4 linked regions of the Arabidopsis thaliana genome follow. The protein of the gene in region 2 interacts with the protein of the main gene of each other region in a pairwise test. Each region holds a gene or a part of one and is shown on either strand. Other genes may lie near its edges.

Region 1 (3,903 bases), on a different chromosome or scaffold from region 2:
CATCCCTTTTTTTTTGGTAACATCATCTTCTTTGACCTCTCGTATTGACAAGGGAGTATATTCAAGTTTATCATTGTAATTTTGGGTATTTGAATGACTACAAGTGTAAATATAACTATATTTTTGGGTATATACTTGTATTTCAGTTTTTTTGGGATACCCATTCGGTTCTTGATTCGGATGGCTGGGATTTGATATTGGATCTTCGAATGTAACAGTTTAGGACCCATTCGAGTATTCATGTCGGTTCTGGTTCAATTCGGTTCCTTCGAATTTAGGTCGGTTATTTGTGTCCGACTCTTTATATGGGAGTTTAGCCTATAAATGGGCTTATAACACCCCATGGTTGTTTTACACTTGATTTTGCTTCTCTTTCTGTATTCACTCTATCTCGATGTATGAGTTTTGCAACAAACTATCGAGTCTTCTTAGGCTTGTTAAGTAAACTTTTTGCATAGTAAAAGCTTTGCGACCACTCTAGTTACCGAAATCTAAACATGCCATTATGCCAACGAGAAAGAAACCAACAAAATAAAAAAAGATAAGTCACAAATTCAGTCTGTTAAAACCTTAAGAAACTACTAGGCTCAAATCAAACCCAAGACATTAAAGGTCGAATCATTCTTTTGTAGATAGTAAAAGCCTAAAAGGTCATCACATCACCACTTTTATTCTTCATTTTTTTCTTATCATCATCACTTAGCCATCATAATCTTGACAAACTCCTCGTAGTTTATCTGACCATCTCCATCAACATCTGCTTCACGAATCATCTCCTCGACCTCTTCATCAGTCAGTTTCTCACCTAGATTCGTCATCACATGGCGAAGCTCTGCAGCGGATATGAAACCGTTCTGGTCTTTGTCGAACACCCTGAAAGCTTCTTTCAGCTCTTCCTCCGAGTCTGTGTCCTTCATCTTTTTAGCCATTAGGTTTAAGAACTCAGGGAAGTCAATGGTTCCGTTTCCATCAGCGTCAACCTCGTTGATCATGTCTTGTAGCTCAGCTTCTGTTGGGTTCTGCCCTAGTGACCGCATCACTGTTCCCAGCTCCTTTGTGGTGATGCAACCTGTTCAATCAGTAAAAGATAACATGAATAAAAACCAGGTCTTGTGATAAATAAGTCTCCAATAAAACTTTTTTAAGCTACAAGAGCCAACAAACAGCTAAACACATGACCATCAATGGATGCCAGAAAAAAAAAGCACTAGACTCTGGAATCTTTCATTATGGAAAACTCATGATCTGTTCTAAAACATACATGACTATACATGACTGTTTGCTTCTCATACGAAACTAAATATTATCAGAGAACTTAAACCTGTAGCTACATACCACCTTACAAGTAGATTCCCATAACAAAGTCAGATTGATATACATACGAAACATGAATGAAACCAGGTCTTTTGTTTAAACGTTTTTGAGCAAAAAAAAGCCACTAATCAACCAAAAACATGACCATTAAATGAATCTCATAAAAACACTAGAATCTGAATATCTTTGGCTATGGAAAAAGCATGACAGGTGCTAAAACTAAACAGTATCTTTGAACTGAAATCTATAGCAATATACCTACTTAAACTACAGAAGAATGACACAAAAAGACGATTCAGAACAAGAATCAGGAACATGATATTCTGCACAAAGCTAGTAACATTTCAATATAAGTCACCTTCAAAGAAACATCAAAATCACAAATCCATGCTTAGAGATGGAACAAAACTACATCAAAAGAGACAATCAAACGATTCAATCAACAACGAAGTAACAATTCACCACACGAATCACCTGAATCAGAGATCGAATCTAGCAAAACCAGAGATTAGACCAAATCCAAAGCGTATCAAAGAATCAGACTCAAATATTTTCTGAATCTGAAGCTGATCGCAGACGAAATCGGAAAAAATGAGATCCGTTATGGTTTTAACAACGATCAAGAGAGATTTAAAAGAAGAAGATGAGATTGAGACTAACCATCTCCATCTTTGTCGAAGAGGCTAAAAGCTTCCTTAAACTCAGAGATCTGTTCATCAGTTAGCTGATCCGCCATAGCTTCTTCTTCTCGTTTCTTTGGTTTTTCGTTTCAGAGAAGAAATGATTTTTTTTTTTCCTGAAGTCTCCGAAGCTGTGAAAATATCTTAGCGACCGACAAAAACAATTATACGACAATGAGGAAAAAGTTAAAACGAAATTAAATGTTTACGGAAGATAATAATAATAATTTACTAGTTGGGTTTTTAGCTAATCATGTGATTAGTGGATGTGGGACTTGAGAGGAAGCCCAAAGGGCCCTTGGATACACATTAAGGCTTAAAAATGTTTTAATAAAACAATTTACATATTTAAAAAGTAATGATTTTTCAATTTTGAATGATAAATAAGACAATCCTCAATAATACAATAGTACTTAAGTTTTAAGCTGTAAGTTTTCCAAAATTACCATTGTTTTATTATTCAGATCATCATTTTATTTGACATCCCTGAAAAGCAAATATTTACTTTTGAGTTTAAAATAAAATTGTGTTTACTTAAAAACAGTTTTATCCTAAAGAGTAAAGACCTAATCTTATAGTAAAAGTTGACATTACTTACTGTATAATAAAAAAAGGATTGAACTAGTAGTTTCTAAAGATAGGAACAAAACAACTGTTCAATTTTCTTCAGATGAAGATTAAAATCTGTTATTATTTTAAATCTCGGGGACTACAAAATTTACCTCCAAATCTATGATTTACTAAAAACAAAATTAGTTAAGCCAACATTTTAACTAACCTAATACTATCATTTGAACACTTATAGGTATGTTAACTGATTTCAAAATTATCTATATACATCTTTTGTAATGGCATGTTTTCCATCAATGTGTGTGAACATTGAAAACATAAACTGTTGAATATCTAAGGTCATCTCCATTGGTAAGAAACCTTCAAAGTTTCTCAAAAAAAAAAATTACTAATATTTTATTATGACTTAATTTTGTAATTAATATATTCTTTTCTTTTTTTCAGTTGTCTAATTACTTCAAAATTTCTCTGCACAGAAACGTTTCTGTAATTATGTTATTCTCTCTCCTCCTTTATGAATTGTTTATATTATATTAGTGAAAAGCAACTCTCAAAATTGTAACCGATGGAGATGATCTAACCTATTTACCAAAAACAATTCAGACAAAATTTATTTTCGGTTTAGTCGTTTTTTTTCGTTTTCTTAATTTCAAAATAATTTACTGGGAAAAGAAAAAATCATCATTACGCTCATGTGAAAAAAGATCGTTCATTGTATGGGTTTTGGAAGTTAGAAAAGTAAGCAAGCAACTTATACCCTATTGGCCATTATATCTACCGAGAAACAACAAGCTCTTTAATTTATAAATTCGTGTAGTTGCCTTAAACAAACCCCAAGCTTTCATTACACACCACAACCAAAATCGTAGTTTGAAGATTCTGATATGTCAAAGAAGCATCTCAAGCCGTTGGAGACATGTTTTGAAGATGAAGAAGATGATGTTATTTATCTTCCTCCAGGTCTTGTGACCGGTGCAACTTCCAAGAAGAATGAGGAGTTTTGTGGCGGCTCCGGCAAGGTACAACCGTCTGAGATGAAGCGTCGGAGTGAAGGGACCTCAACGGACATGACTTCGAAGAGAGCCAAGAAGGTTTCAGCAGAAGATGAGAAGAAAGTTGGAGAATGGACAAAAAACCCATATTTTCAAAGACTGTGGAGTGAGGAAGATGAGATTGTTATGCTACAAGGAATTATTAAATTTGAAGATGTTACAGGGAAAAGTCCGTTTGAGGATAGACACGGGTTTATAGAATTCGTCAAGAACTCCATTAGCTTCGAGGCTAGTGTGCAACAATACATTGGCAAGATTAGCCAATTGAAGAGGAAATATACGAGGAA
Region 2 (6,139 bases):
ACTTAAAAAGTTTATATCATTTAAATTCTAATTAAAATGTTAAATATTTTAATGTATACTGAAACTATTTTTTAGATAATTACAAATCTAAAATCCAAAAATTCTCTTTTGAATATGCTAAATCATAATTTAAAATTATTTTTATTTGTAATAATCAGAAACAATTAACATAGTTTTGTTAAGGAAATTGTATAAAATCTAAAGTAAATGATAATTTGTTATTAAATTAGATTGAAGTTTCCAAATTATCTAATAACATATTACCAAAAGAAATAAGTTTACATATATACAATTTGAATTAAAATAACCTAATATGTTATGAAAACGTTTTTAAATGATTTCCGAAAATATTGGGTAGTTATTAATTTAGTGATTTAATTCGTTTTTTTTAAAAACAAAATCCAAGATATTTGTTTAGTTGTAGTAGTTGTTAATTTACTAAATTACCCATGCAAAAATTCATTTAGTTAGTTTTAAACTACCCTTACAATGTTGTAGTTCATACAATGCTTCCTAATTAATAATATAGATTATCTTATAATTTTGTTTATAATGAATTATAATATAATATATTGTTATGTTTTTTTCATTTATCATTAAAATTTACCGAGCACACCGAATACTTGGATTTTAACTTCGATCTAAATTTTGTTGTTGCCTCGTGTTGGAGAATGTGAGGTTTTGACTTTTGAGCATTGCTATGAGCCTATGAGCAGTCTTGAGCTTTGGAACCCTATTTTTGTTTTAAGCGTATCATCAAGAATGAAGAATACAAACTAAAGGCTATAACTAGACTGAGGAGTGCATAATCTATGAAGCCGTCTCCTACGGTATCTCCACGCCACTTGAATCTGCCTAGCCGCTCGTAGCCTCCAATATGGAGAGTCGTACCTTATGGCTCCTTGGACTCTATGACTCCTCAAGAATCTCGAAAACAAGCTCGTTACGTCTTCCAGATCGGCTACACTCAGCGAAAACGCCTCCACATTTGTCACACACCTTACATTTCTGCTACTAAGCAATCCCTTTGATGGCATCCTTATCCTCGTCCCATCTGAAGGTTTCAGAACATACTCAGTTCCAAGCTTTTTCTTAACGAAGTGTCATCTAAGGAACCAAACTTTTTGGGATTTATGAACACATAGAGATAGAGTCAAAAGGGATGGTACCGGGGTTTACAGAAGAGCGTTCGAGGCACCAAGTGAGGAGTTCTTCACCACAAACATCGCCTTCATATAATGGAAGAACAGAACCATCTTCTCCAATGCTCTCCATCTCACCTCTCACTATGAATACCATTTTCTCAACTAGTCCTCCACGGTGCAACACTGTGCTACTCCCTATGTATGTCCTCTGTTTCAGCCTCTCACGGATTGCATCTAAGATTGGTTCATCCATCAACGAAAATATTCTCACCTGCAAACCCATTCAAATTTCAATACTATTTCTCAGCAATGGTTTAATCTGTGGTCTCTAACTATTACTTGCAGTTACAGCTTCTAGAACTAGCTCTTTGCAACACTATATGGAATTGGGATCTATGCATACAGAAGTTTCACATATGTTTACCTTCTTGAGAAATTTGAAGAGGTGTCGTCTTATATCTCTTTGAAGATCATCAGGCATATTCTCAAAAAGCAATTCTTCGTTAACGCCTCTAGTAGCAGCCCAGTTAAACCGCTCAGCCTCTCGCACCCTCCTGATAATGTCGAACCATTATTCAGTTAGTTTAATAGTGAAACTACTGAAACTGAGACCAATGTAACTCTTTAAGAAAAAGAATATTCAAAGGATAAAACAAAGTTTTATAGGCAAAGTCCACATACCTTCTTATACCATCTGGCAACCGTCTATGGCTCATCCATTGCTCCACATCACGCCGTCTCAGCGTCATTTCCAAATTCCTAATATGGACAAAACACAATCACCTGAGTAGTTAGTGTTTATAGAACCAACCATTATGTCTTGAAATATCTATTTTAGTACAATGATGGAATTGTTTACCTTTTACCAAGAGCTTGAAGGAAATTTTGCATATTACCAATAAGAAGCGCAAAAAGTAAAAGCCCTAGTCCAATGATACCCATAGTAAAGAAGACCTCCCCTAGAAAGTAGCTTGGGACTTGGTTGCCAGCAAGAGTGCTGATTTGCTATGAGAATTATAAAATTAATGATCTTAATGAAGAGTTCCAAGTATGCCAATCAATGCAAAGTAGTTGAGTAGTTGTTCTTAGTTTCCTACTAAAAAACTGAAAGAGAGAAAAAAAAAAACAGTTACCTGGAAGCCCCAGAAGAGAGAGTAACTGTATCTTGTGAAGAGATTAGAATGATTGGTAAGATTGACTGCTTTTAAATAGATTCCATAAGGAAAACCATCTTCTTGGAAACAAGCATTGGCACTCGCATTATCTTTCCAGGTAGCTCGTACTAATACACTGCTATTTCCATTACCACAATCTATAAGATCTTGACATTCACGCCCAAAATTACCGCAAGCATTTCGAAGGCACTGATTAACTCTCTGAAAGAACCAACAGAAAACGGGAAACAATATAAATCACTTTATGCATCTTCTGCTGATCAGGACAAGATAAAAATGAAAGACATTTTGAGAGTTTGTCATACCTGCAGACCAAATAGATACCAGCAAGAACCAACAACATGTCCAGCAAGCATGAAAGTGAGAAGATTAATAACAAAATTAGCCCAAGCTGACTCAAATATGAATCCGGTAGGTGTTTGTCCAGCAAGAAACGGTAGAAGTCTATATAACTTTGGAATGTATTGGAAAAGAACTGCAGCTCGTAGAAGGTTTTTCGCATAGTTTGCCCCGGATGCACCCAAATGTGCTGGTATTATCCATAGTATCAATATCTGTAAACAAAAGAAAACATAAATGAACATCTTCTGATTACCATTACTTAAAACCAGTAGGAGCTCTAACGTAACAATACCTGTGGAAGTGGCATCACTATGAACAAGTCAAGGAAAAACTTTCCTTTGAGGTAATGAAGGGCAATTTTTTTGGGATGACTAACTAACTGGCCAGCTCCAACTACCGTAGACTCACGAGCTACATAGGCCAATCGGAACTGCAACCAATATGGCAAACGTGAGCACTAAAGCCAACATATTTTGTTTATAAAGAGATGGAAAAATGTAAGCAAAAGAAAAGCACCTGAAGTAGAATGTTCATAGTGAATATAACATCTGTTACACTTCTTACAGCTACAAATGCTTTAGTCATCGGCCAATCAATCATAATACATTTGTTTTGCTACAGTGAGAAAATAAAGATGGTCAAAAAGGTGGTGTAAAGGCAAGATAAAAACACTTGGAAAAGCAAAAGATATCTCTGAAGGAAAAACATACCTCTTGGACTTTTATGAGGAAGAAGAAGAGGGGATCTATAAAAATAGCTAACAAGCATGAAAGGGCGAAGAATTTAGTCCAGGTTTGAACCTCTTTGGCATGAGGATTCATGATTCCAGGTAAGTATCTATTAACAGAGGAAGCAAATCTCCTTGCCCAACCTTTAGCATCATCATACAGAGCGTTATGGAACTAGCAAGAAAACAAAAGACTCTGTTTCAACGACATTTACTTGATCCTGAAGCTATATTTGTGAATGTAAAGTAACAAAAATCAAAACTTTACCGTGGAATCAAAAAGGGCAGAAACTCTAGAAGTAGGGATTTGAGCAGCCTTACGGTTGTAGTAAGAAGGGCAAGTAGTACAGTAAGGATCATTACACATTCCCAATTGTCCAGACCTCAAGAGATTTGCGTGTTTCAAAACGAACTCATCCTCTGAGGAGTTTTTATGTTCAAGAGCAGCAAAAGAAGGATACCTCTCAGGCTGAGAAGAGACACCAACGGAATCAGAAGAAGGATGAGGAAGAAAGAGAGGTTCATGCTTGCGAGTAGAGGTAAGAGGACCACTCATTTGAACTAAAGGAGGACGTCTCTGAGTTCGAAGAGGACCCGTGTAGCCTAAAACCACAGTGGAAGTGTCAAATCCTTCAATGGAGGAAGTAGGGTTTGAGAGAGAAACGCTACGACTCCTGGAAGTGAAAGCTCTGGCTCTAGTACGAGATGATGGGTCTGAAATCGGAAGCATGGGAATATCATCGTTTTCGTTGTGGGAAGCCATTTCTTGACCAAAATCACGGTTTCAAGAAGACCCTAGAAGGCTAGAATCTAGGCATAAAGGGAAAATTTGAGGCGGAGAAGGAAGTTGAAGCAGAGAGTTTTAGTAATTTTGATAAGAAGAAGAAGAAATAAGAAAGGAGATGATGACCAAGTCAGGGGTCTTCTTCTTCGTAGCCCAGGTCAAGGAAGTGTATTATTGTAAATAAAACTCATGTCTGGAAAAGTCAAACACTGACTTTTATTACATTGTTTATTATTTCGTGTCCGTGAGGCTTCTCTCTCCTCTGTGTTTTTAACATTTATTTCCTTTTGAATATTCACGAATTCGAAAATTCCTTTATTTGATTACCAACTGTAACTAATTAATTGGCCCTAATTATTGGAGGCAAAATGTCATTAACTACATGGCTGTTTCCGTTTCTTTGTCTTAATTAACTTCTTACAGTAAAGAAGTACCGAAAAGGCAAAAATCATTCATTATCCAGGCTTGATTAATTATTAATTTAAGATCAATTAGAATGGGCCGAAATTATGAGCCCAAGTTACTCAAGCCGAGTGACCTGAAGTAAAATTATACCGTATGATTGGAAAAACAGCAAAAAGATACTTAAGAAACACTAATGAGTGAATTGATTACAACGAATGAATCATCGATTCATCTTTTATAGTGAATCACTAAGCTTTATACTTCAAAATAAAATTACTAATCTACCAAACCAAACATCATCATCAAATTTAACGGTTGGAATTGGAGTGAGCAGTGTTTAATCTCTGGAGTTGTCTCTTTCGGTATCTCCAAGCCACTTGGATCTGCATAGCTGCTCGTAACCTCCAATAAGGAGACTCGTACCTTATAGCTCCTTGCACTCGATGGCTTCTTAAGAATCTTGAAAACAAGCTTGTTACATCTTCAAGATCTGCTACACTCAGCGAAAACGCCTCCACGTTTGTCACACACCTAACATTTCTGTTGCTAACCAATCCCTTTGGTGGCATCTTTATCCTCGTCCCATCTGCAAGTTTCAAAACGTATTCAGCTCCAAAGTTCCAAGTTTCTAACCAAAAAACATTAAGAGTTATGAACACTCAAATGTTATTAGTACCGGGGTTTATAGAAGAGAGGCACCAAGTGAGAAGTTCTTCACCACAAACGTCTCCTTCTGATAAAGGAAGAACAGAACCGTCTTCTCCAATGCTCTCCATCTCACCTCTCACTATGAATACCATTTTCTCTACTAGACCTCTGTGATGCAACACCGTGCTACTCCTTATGTAAGTCCTCTGTTTCAGCCTCTCTCTGATTGAATCTAAAACTGATTCATCCATCAACGAAAATATTCTCACCTGCAAACTCATTAACACTTGGATTCAGAACTAGCTTTTTGCAACACTGTGGAGTCTGAGTACACAAAATGAATACTGACTAATGCTGTCATGAGGCTGTTGCTTATTACCTTCTTGAGAAATTTGAAGAGGTGTCTTCTTATATCTCTTTGAAGGTCATCAGGCATGTTCTCAAATAGCAATTCTTCGTTAACTCCTCTTGTCGCAGCCCAAGTGTACCGCTCAACCTCTCTCACCCTCCTGAAAAAGTTGAACAGTTGATTAGTTATGAATATCACATTACACAGCCTGAGAAAATCAAATGCCACAGTGCACAGACTTTCTTATATCTTCTGGCAAACGTCTATGGCTCATCCACTGCTCCACATCACGCTTTCTCAGCATCATTTCCATCCTCCTAAAACAGAACATGCATTAGCCAAGAAATTCACCATCCCTTTTCAGAACATTGTTGATGAAATGTGATTTACCTTCGATCAAGTGATTGAAGGAAGTTGTGCATGTTACCGATAAGCCGCGCAAAAAGCAAAAGCCCTAGTCCAATGATACCCATTGTAAAGAAAACCTCACCCACTGAGTAACTTGGGGATAAGTTTCCAGCAAGTGTGCTTATTTGCTTTCAGAGTTGAAAACATTTCAACATT
Region 3 (5,730 bases), 9.6 Mb from region 2:
AGAAGTCAGAATACAAAGGGAAACATATAACTGCACTGTTTATTAACAATTGTCTTGTGAATTCGTGTTATACCGTTACTTAATAACAATTATAAACTATAAAATATAATTTTTCTTTAAATAGATACAAGTTGTAAACCTTAATATATACTAACGTTAAAATCGCCTAGACCAACGTTTGGACATCAATATAGAATATCAGGTTACATCAATGTATCAAATTCAATATGAAATATCAAGATACCATAACAATAATACAGAAATATCAAATTCAATATGAAAATCTGATTTTTGCTTTACTATTAGCAGAAAATTCATGATCTGGACATAAGTAGTTAGTAGATTAGCCTAAGTTAGTAAAAATTAAGTTACAAACCTAAAAAACAAATTTGTCACAAAACTAGAATTTTTTTATTTTTTGGAATACGGGTTAAATCTTTAATTTATTATTTTTAGCACCACTTATCAAATCAGTCTGATTAGAAAAGATTATATAAAATCAAAAAATATTTTGTGGTATAGTGCTACTTAATAATAATTGTAAACTATAAAAATAATTGATGACAATTATATAAATTTTTTAAAAATCGTAAAATCAACGCAATTGGCGGGAAATTTTTCTACAAAAATTTTCTACTAAATTACGGAAAAACCGTAAAATCATTCTCAATCGTCTACTAATATTTATTGTCTAACCATTTTCTTTCTTGTGTTATAATTTTGAAATGTGATAAAATAAAGAGAATTTATAATAAATGATTATAGATTTGAAAAGAATGTACAAACTAACCTTGAGTCACAGTAGCTTGTCGGAAACATATTGGAGAACACATGTAATTACATAAATATCCTTTGTAACATGTTTTTTTTCCGAAATACATGCGATAACATAATATCTCTTTTTATCTTGTTATTTTCTCTTATTACATAGTATTTATAAAAAGCACATGGTATTTTATGGAAAAAACATTCTATTCAGTTTAATATCTCTTTTTATCATGATATTTTGTAGTAATACACATTTTTTATTAAGATCACACGTGATTTCTTTAAAAATATATTCTTATTTTTTAGTAATACACGGTTTTATTAAAATCACATATAAATTTTTTTTAAGGATTATGTTCATGTAAGAAAATTTCATAATAATGTTTTTTCTTAAAAATTCATGACGTTTTTTTAAATAGCATGTTTTAAAACTAAATATAACATGTGAAATTTTAATGTTACATGTTATTTTGAAAAATTACACGAATGTGTTTCGTTTACAGTTCATCTTACAACAAATGAAAGGTAGCTTTGTTATTTCATTTCTTCCGACAACATGGGTCCATGGTTATTTTGTAACAAAAAACTTTCTCTCTACTAGTTTCTTAATTTGTATGTTTTATTTGGTTATCTAATATTACCCTAAAATAAACTTAGCAAATAGAAAATGAATTTTATCAAATTGCCTACACCAATGTTTGGATATCAATGTATAATATCAGGTTACATCAATATATATCATACCAAGATACCATAACAATAATACAAAAATATCAAATTCAAAACTATTAGCAGAAAGTTCATGATCTGGACATAAGTAGTTAGTAGATTAGCCTAAAATAGTAAAAACTAAGTTGCAAACCTAAAAAACAAATTTCTCCCAAAACTAGAATTTCTTAATTTTTTGGTCTGAGAAATTAAAAGAGAAAGACGTTTAGGAGGGCAAAATCGTCAATTCAAAAATACCTCATTTTACCTGTAGCTGGTGAGATCTCATTTTATAAAGGAGAAGGAACATTCACTCTCACGCGCTTCAACTTTCTCCAGAAACAAGAAAATATCACAGCAAAAATTTTCTCGAGAAAATCCGAAGAAGACAAAAAAAATGGCGGATCAGCTAACCGATGACCAGATCTCCGAGTTCAAGGAAGCTTTTAGCCTATTCGACAAAGACGGAGATGGTCTCTTCTTCTTCTTCTTCTTCTTCTTCTTCTCTCAGATCTCTTTCTCTTGTCGTTTTTTTTTTAGATTTCTTCGCGGTGATCGTGAATCTCTGCACATTTCGTTTATTGTTTCATGTGATTTGAAGAACGATCTCGTTTTGATTCGTTCAGTCTTGCTCACATCTCCAGAGTGTTTAGGGTTGATTTTTGCTTCTATAGAAGGATCTAGAATATGTAGAATCTCCTTTAGTATATTCGTTGATGATTACTAAGATTTGTAGTTATGGAATCTTGTTTAATTAGGTTATTCATCATATTCTAGATCCTACATTGGAATCGTACATTGGAATCTAGTTGTTTCTCTGTGATTTACTATGATTCTGAACAAATCCTGTGATTATAATCATGCGGATTTGTACGTTCTCACAAAATTTAGTGGCATTGTGGTTTTAAGATTCAATTGTAACATGTAGATTTATCTGCAGATGTTTATACTCAAAATCTAAAAAACGAAATTTGGTTTATTGTGTGATGTTGCCAAATAGAAAAATAGAGAAAGAAGTTGATAATATCATCTCTGTTGTTCTTCTTTACAATAGTTGAGAACTTGCAACGGTGTGCATTTTGTGATGCTTATTGGCAATACCATCATATTTAGAACATTGTGCATTTCCTGGCCTTTGATTAGAAAGAGGCTTTAAATGTTGCTTGGTGGTTTGTGTGCAAAAAGTTTCTTTGTTAACTTGGTAGATGTTTCCCGAACAATCAGTTTTACTTGTCGTATACTATGATTGGGGTTTAAGAGTATTTTACTAAGAGCATTTTTGAGCTTTCTTGTGAGAATAGGTGCATTTCCTGGCCTTTGATTACTAAGAGAATAACATCATATTTAGAACATTGTGCATTTCCTGGCCTTTGATTACTAAGAGAATACCATCATATTTAGAACATTGTGCATTTCCTGGCCTTTGATTAGAAAGAGGCTTTAAATGTTGCTTGGTGGTTTGTGTGCAAGAAGTTTCTTTGTTAACTTGGTAGATGATTTCCGAACAATCAGTTTTACTTGTCGAATCGTCGTCCTTTTAAATGAGATATACTATGATTGGGGTTAGTAGTGTAAGGATATTTTACTAAGAGCATTTTTGAGCTTTCTTGCATTTGAAAACTTGACATATTACTTGTGTTTAAGATAATTGGTTTATATATCTTCCTGATCTTGTTGACAATATTAGTGTTCATAAAGTTATACTCGGAACTCTTGCGTTACAAAATCTGAAGTTGTGTCCAATTTTGGTTTGATTGCAGGTTGTATCACCACAAAGGAGCTTGGGACTGTGATGAGATCACTTGGGCAGAACCCGACAGAAGCCGAGCTCCAGGACATGATCAACGAAGTGGATGCAGACGGGAACGGGACAATAGATTTCCCAGAGTTCCTGAACCTAATGGCACGTAAGATGAAAGACACTGATTCAGAGGAAGAGCTTAAGGAAGCCTTCAGGGTTTTTGACAAGGACCAGAACGGTTTCATCTCGGCGGCTGAGCTTCGTCACGTGATGACAAATCTTGGGGAGAAGTTGACGGATGAGGAAGTCGATGAGATGATCCGAGAGGCTGACGTCGATGGTGATGGTCAGATCAACTATGAAGAGTTCGTCAAAGTCATGATGGCAAAGTGAGATTCTTCTTATCCCTCGAAATCCTAAGCATGTTTTTCTTTTACATCTTTAAAACTGAGAAAAGTAATTTATTGAACCAAAAGAAACAGAGAGATTTGCTTCCTTGTTTGTTTTGTTGATCGTGATTTTTTGGTAACGTTGCTTCTTCTTTGCCTTTTGGTTTTGTTATTGTCCGTGACGTTTGAACTCATAATTTGCTTTAGTCTCTCGAGTCATGACCACTTGATGATGTTATTTTCTCTTTTCTCTAAAATATTGCAGTTTATTGAGATCGACTAATTATATCCATTACGTGGAGAAATAATTGCTTACTAGTTGCAAAAACGTGCACTGTAATTGTTTAAAATTTAGTGTCTTTGCAAGAACAAAGTAGTAGTAAAAGTTCTTGGGATCAAACATTTTCTATTTCAAATACCCACTTAAGGCCCAATGGTATGGTTGATAAGGCTGTTAAGGTTGTGAGGGTTTATTAGCTGATGAAGGCCTATCTTGTGAGTAATAGTACTGTCAAACTACTCCATCTTGTGTGGTTCTCCCCTAGATTATATTTGAAAAAAAACTAATTTATCTACGTATAGACATTTTTCTTACTATAACATTAGCTCTAATTTGAATTTGATATTTGGATTTATAATACACATAAACGTATATAATAGTTTGTTCTATATGTTTTTTATTTAATTTTATTTTATATGTTTATTTAATTATAGATATAAATTTTCCTCAATTGTTTAATTTTTTTCTATATTAAAATTGAATTATATTTTATTTTATGCAAAATCAACTTTTAGTATTTACAAGTTAGTCATTAAAGTTATATTTATAACAATTATTATAATTTCCACTATACTAGTCATAGACTCATAGTTCTAGTATTAGTATCAACTATATACTAATAGAACCATAAATTTGTTTGTTTTTTGTTTTTTTAATAAATCTTATCGACTGATCCGGTCGGCCCGTATAAACTATAAGTTTGTTTTTATAGAGTTTTTCTAATTTAGTTATTGTCAATTTAACATTCAAGCTCATTAAGTTTTCTTTAGTAATATGTAAGACTCTTTTTATGCAATTCAGTTCATATATCTCTCTTCTCTTTTTTTTTTTTTTGTGACGAACTAAGAAACAAAAAAGAATTGACATTTTACAGTTAATTCTATTATCTTCTTCATTTCTAAACCCCAAAGAAAGAAGGAACCAACTACTCGGTTTTTATTGTTTCTTGTTCTCAGTCATGTTTGGGAATGCGCAAGTAAATTGATAAAGAAAAGGAAGAAGAAGAAGAAGAAAAAGAAAAAGAAGAAGACCAAAAATGCTAAAAGGAATGAGAAAGAATTGATCCAGCATAACCCCTCACAGCCCGAGTCACATCGCGTTCCTAGCCGTTTGAATCTCCTCTGCCACCGCTCTCATTCTTGCTCGATTCTATAGCTCACTGTACTTGCTGATCAAGAACTAACTTAAAACAATGAAGACGAAGAATAGTGAAAGCTAATAGTAGATAACTTGCATATATCGAGGGATTGTTTAAAAAACATAATAATAACCTTGTATATAGGCTACGTAATGGCATAAAGAAAAGATTGGTTGGTGGATTACCATGCGAGCCGCTGGTAGAGGACTAACAATTATGTACTTGGATTCAAACCATTTAGTTTAGTCCTAAGAAAAAAAATTAAGTTACCAAGTTTATCTCTAGGAATTTAGAATTTTAACAGTTTTATAGATTTATATTCATCTTGTAAACGATAAACGATAAACAAAACCAGTAGTGTCTCCAACCGCCGAAATGTTAACAATTAAACGATAAACATAGATTTTTTTTTCTATGATCAATTTTAGAAAAATAAAATTTACAAACAAGTATTTTAATTATTAAACTTTGAGAGAATGAAATGTAATAAAGAAAAGAAAAAAAAATTAGAAAATTTTTTTTGACCCACGTCTCCCTCTCAAATGCTCTCTTTCTCTTTATTTAAATCTGTTACACCTCTCTTTCTCTCTCACCAAACAAAAACTTTTTCGAATATTTTAGTAATTATAAATAGTAATTGTACTACTTCTCCAATTAAGTTACGGAAATGTACTGTTTTCTAAACAAACTCAAAGAAAAAGGTTAA
Region 4 (3,709 bases), on a different chromosome or scaffold from region 2:
TTTATAAAACTATATAATCTCTATAGAATAAATTATAATAATTTGACCCGCGGGTGAATACGATGATCTGATGACCTATAAGGTAGTCCGGTTCGCTATCTGGATCGGGTTAACATTGACCCTATATAAACCAAGCATCCACCAACAAACTTAGTTGACTAAAGAGTCTCTGGACCTAGAGGTCAAGAGTCCAATTTTCGTTTGGGAGATGGTCACATTACATCTTTTGGTCTCTCTAGCATCAGGGAGTGTACGAAATTAGGTTTACAACCTCTTTGATCATTTAAAAAACTTTTAGACAACAATAGATTTAGAGGCTACTTACATTTGTTTCTAAAGAATTTCCAATTTTGATGATCCTAATGGAAAAAAGGTTTGAAGGTTAGGGACTTACGGTTTACAAACTAAGAAACAAAATGGTTTGTAAATTTTATTGATACATATAACTACTATATTTTTCATGTAAAATAACAATAACGTTGGCGATGTTGCAAAATCGTTTTCGTTGGTCAATTCTCTTACTGGTATTTTAAACGCGGCCAAATTTTAGGGCATTGCTTTAAGATAAACAACAACTAACAAAAATTTACAGAATAAAATCAGATGCCCAAAAAAGAGAGCAAAATATGAGTTCATACTTCACATAACACTAAAAGGCTTAACCAAACAAACAAGGGAAATAAGCAAAATGATGTCCTAAAGAACGCAACCAGAATCAAGTCATAATGTAACTTCACTGTAGAAATCATAAATCTTGTTTCTTTTTGTGGGCTTAAGATAAAATTCTCTCACTTAGCCATCATGACTTTGACGAATTCTTCATAGTTAATCTGACCATCGCCATCAACATCCGCTTCTCGGATCATCTCATCAACTTCCTCATCGGATAGCTTCTCACCGAGATTTGTCATGACATGTCGAAGCTCTGCTGCAGATATGAAACCATTCTGGTCTTTATCAAAAACCCTAAAAGCTTCCTTGAGCTCTTCCTCTGAATCAGTGTCCTTCATTTTCCTTGCCATCAGGTTCAGGAACTCCGGGAAATCAATGGTCCCGTTCCCATCTGCATCAACTTCATTGATCATGTCTTGAAGCTCAGCTTCTGTTGGGTTTTGCCCCAGAGACCTCATCACGGTTCCGAGCTCCTTGGTGGTGATACAACCTGCAACCAGATTCAGGTATAATAAGCTTTTAGAGACAGACTTATATCCACAGTCAACAAACAAAAGCCATTGTATTTCTTATTTCGACTGATGAAGATCTGGTAAGTAAAAAAGAGAATGATTTTTTTTCATTCAACAAAGTCCTACTAAGTTAACAAAGAAACTCCATTCATACAAACTAAAAATAATCACTCTTCCAAGTCCTACCTAAAGTGTTAGGGTAAAAGAAATATTCTGTGTTTATTCCGTCTTTCCTTATGTGTGTGTACTAGCAAATCTAGAATCATGTGTATTAAAAAGACACAATATTCTTCTCCAAATCTCTTTACATGGTATCAAAGCCAGAATCAAAACCCTAGCCACTTCGTTCTATTGAACCCACATCTCACCGTGCAAAGGCCAATAATGCACAACAGAATTTTGCAAGTTTTTCACCAATCAAAGCAGAATACATTCCTGATATCTACAACATCAATCCTTTTTTCAACAATTAAACTACTCAAAATCTCAACATATGGATAAATTTCCCAAAACATTTCATTGCTGCATCACGAGACTGAACCAGAACAAGAACAAAACACAGCGTGAGTCATGAATCGCTATCGAATTAGCCAAAAGCTAGATCGTTCACAAGTGAAACAAACACGAATCATACAGAAAACTGAAGAAGATCATAAATCTGTCAAACAAATTCCAGAACTCGTATACGGACGGAGTAATCATCGGGGAAAAAACGCAAAGATCTGGGAAAGAAACATACCATCACCATCCTTATCGAAGAGGCTAAAGGCTTCCTTGAACTCTGAGATCTGGTCATCGGTGAGCTGATCCGCCATTTTCCTTCTTACCTTTTTTTAGAAATCCCAGATTTTTTTTTTGCTACTGAATATATTATTTGCCTCTCTAATAATAATTCAGCAAGAGAGCTTATAAAAGAGAGAGAGCCCAACAACTTATGGTTGGGCCTCTAAAGATTTACTAGCTAATTCAGTAATTCTTATGATTTTTTTGTCTTTTTAGTTTAGTTTTTTAAGACAATTATAAAGAAAACTATAACCTTTGCAGTTAATTTAGACATATATACTAGGTAATAAATCTATCAAATTAACAATTATTAATTTTTTTTGACTATTTTCAAAACTGATTTAGTAGAATATTTTACAGTATATCAATTAAACTTTTGACATTATTTTTTTCATTTAAATATTTAATTATAAAAAGTTTTTAAACTAGGATAGATATTTAAGGATATTAATTAATTTGGAAAATTAAAAAAAAACTTATAATATGTTGAAAAAAATAATATATGGATACATATGAAATGATTAGAGTATCCTCTAAATTTACGTTACAGAAACGGATATGTATAAGCAAAAATTTTACATGAATACACTTTTTTGTAGAAATAGTTAAACTTGAATCGATTTTACATGTTTTGTTTTAATTTAAATGGATACTTAATAAAAAAGTTAGTCAATATCTCTACATTTTTTCCAAGTAAACTGTTTTTAAATTTTTTTAGTTTTTATATTAAAAACAAAAAGAGTGTTCGATCATTTATATGAGTCTTATTATTCCACACCTCTAGAATATATATGTACTCGCTACAAATGAGTCTAATGAGCTTTTGCCGTTGATGATTTGTTCAATGTTCTAATAATTGTCATCAGTCTATAACCATTGACACTACACAAAACGGTTGCAATGTATGACTTTTGTTGAACTTTGTAGTGACTAGTAAGTAAGTGAGAGTGAAGAAGCAACGGTTTTTCTTTCTTACAAAAAACTCATATATACTTCAGAGTTAAGACTTAAAAATATATAATAGTGGATAAAATCAGTTACAACTATTTTTTTTTTTAAATGGTCTGTAACAAAAACATAAGAATTCATCGATTACTTAGAAACAACTCAAATGAGAAAGAAAAAAAAACACCTATTGATTAGGTCCATATCTAGTCAAAATCTGAATACTCAAATATTTTGTCATTACATTAATTAACCCAAAATAATTGACCAAAAAAGGCAAAAAACATAATTTTATTTCTTAAGAAAATTGAGGAGCTTAACAAAGGAAAGAAACGTATAATTGTCCCATACGAAAAAAAAAAATTAAAAAACAAGTGTCCATTAAAGTGAGAGAGTCCCTACACGAAATTAAATAAGTTTTTGTCTGTTAGCTACAAATTTCTCTACAATCATCGTATCTCTTTCGTCGCATCTCTATCTCTTGTTGCTCCTTGTATTAGCCCATCATTTTTTTATTTCTCCTGCGAATTCTCCGCCATAGATTTTCTTTTGAATTTCTCCTGCTAACTCTTGAGCTCCCCAAAGGCGGCTACATCGGTTTTGTCACCTCTACTCGCTCACTTTTCTCCGTCCAATTTTGCAGGTTTGTTGGTCGATTCTCCATGTTTTTGCTTCGAATTCGATGAGTAATTCGGTAACTTAGAGAGTTGCTTACGCTTTTGGTTTATGTGTAAAGTGTGCATAATCTCTATATTATATGATGGTGATGATGATTAGTTCTGTAGCTAACTCGAGAA

The links.
Region 1: the proteins of CNBT1 (region 2) and CAM4 interact in a two-hybrid assay, tested with the Arabidopsis thaliana proteins (one study listed by BioGRID).
Region 3: the proteins of CNBT1 (region 2) and CAM7 interact in a two-hybrid assay, tested with the Arabidopsis thaliana proteins (one study listed by BioGRID).
Region 4: the proteins of CNBT1 (region 2) and CAM6 interact in a two-hybrid assay, tested with the Arabidopsis thaliana proteins (one study listed by BioGRID).

The regions. Positions count from the first base shown.
Region 1 is NC_003070.9:24,773,736-24,777,638, forward strand, and holds CAM4 (calmodulin 4), read right to left. Parts: upstream 2,250-3,903; 5' UTR 2,051-2,249; coding exon 1,975-2,050; exon of another isoform or gene 1,807-1,974; coding exon 1,777-1,806; exon of another isoform or gene 1,070-1,776; coding exon 696-1,069; 3' UTR 525-695; downstream 1-524. Other genes in the region: AT1G66420 (DNA-binding storekeeper protein-related transcriptional regulator), read left to right, coding at 3,449-3,903.
Region 2 is NC_003074.8:6,047,087-6,053,225, reverse strand, and holds CNBT1 (cyclic nucleotide-binding transporter 1), read right to left. Parts: upstream 4,413-6,139; 5' UTR 4,153-4,412; coding exon 3,658-4,152; intron 3,565-3,657; coding exon 3,373-3,564; intron 3,278-3,372; coding exon 3,179-3,277; intron 3,093-3,178; coding exon 2,955-3,092; intron 2,875-2,954; coding exon 2,626-2,874; intron 2,522-2,625; coding exon 2,279-2,521; intron 2,151-2,278; coding exon 2,005-2,150; intron 1,905-2,004; coding exon 1,827-1,904; intron 1,700-1,826; coding exon 1,570-1,699; intron 1,417-1,569; coding exon 1,170-1,416; coding exon of another isoform or gene 1,132-1,169; exon of another isoform or gene 1,055-1,131; coding exon 777-1,054; 3' UTR 551-776; downstream 1-550. Other genes in the region: CNGC19 (cyclic nucleotide gated channel 19), read right to left, coding at 4,887-5,164, 5,255-5,495, 5,606-5,735, 5,815-5,892, 5,966-6,111. UniProt on the Arabidopsis thaliana protein: Probable cyclic nucleotide-gated ion channel.
Region 3 is NC_003074.8:15,662,499-15,668,228, reverse strand, and holds CAM7 (calmodulin 7), read left to right. Parts: upstream 1-1,759; 5' UTR 1,760-1,873; coding exon 1,874-1,949; exon of another isoform or gene 1,950-2,595; intron 2,596-2,748; exon of another isoform or gene 2,749-3,236; coding exon 3,237-3,606; coding exon of another isoform or gene 3,607-3,610; exon of another isoform or gene 3,611-4,097; intron 4,098-4,842; coding exon 4,843-5,041; 3' UTR 5,042-5,229; downstream 5,230-5,730. UniProt on the Arabidopsis thaliana protein: Calmodulin mediates the control of a large number of enzymes, ion channels and other proteins by Ca(2+). Among the enzymes to be stimulated by the calmodulin-Ca(2+) complex are a number of protein kinases and phosphatases. Activates MPK8 in vitro.
Region 4 is NC_003076.8:7,213,952-7,217,660, forward strand, and holds CAM6 (calmodulin 6), read right to left. Parts: upstream 2,102-3,709; 5' UTR 2,000-2,101; coding exon 1,924-1,999; intron 1,163-1,923; coding exon 789-1,162; 3' UTR 523-788; downstream 1-522. UniProt on the Arabidopsis thaliana protein: Calmodulin mediates the control of a large number of enzymes, ion channels and other proteins by Ca(2+). Among the enzymes to be stimulated by the calmodulin-Ca(2+) complex are a number of protein kinases and phosphatases.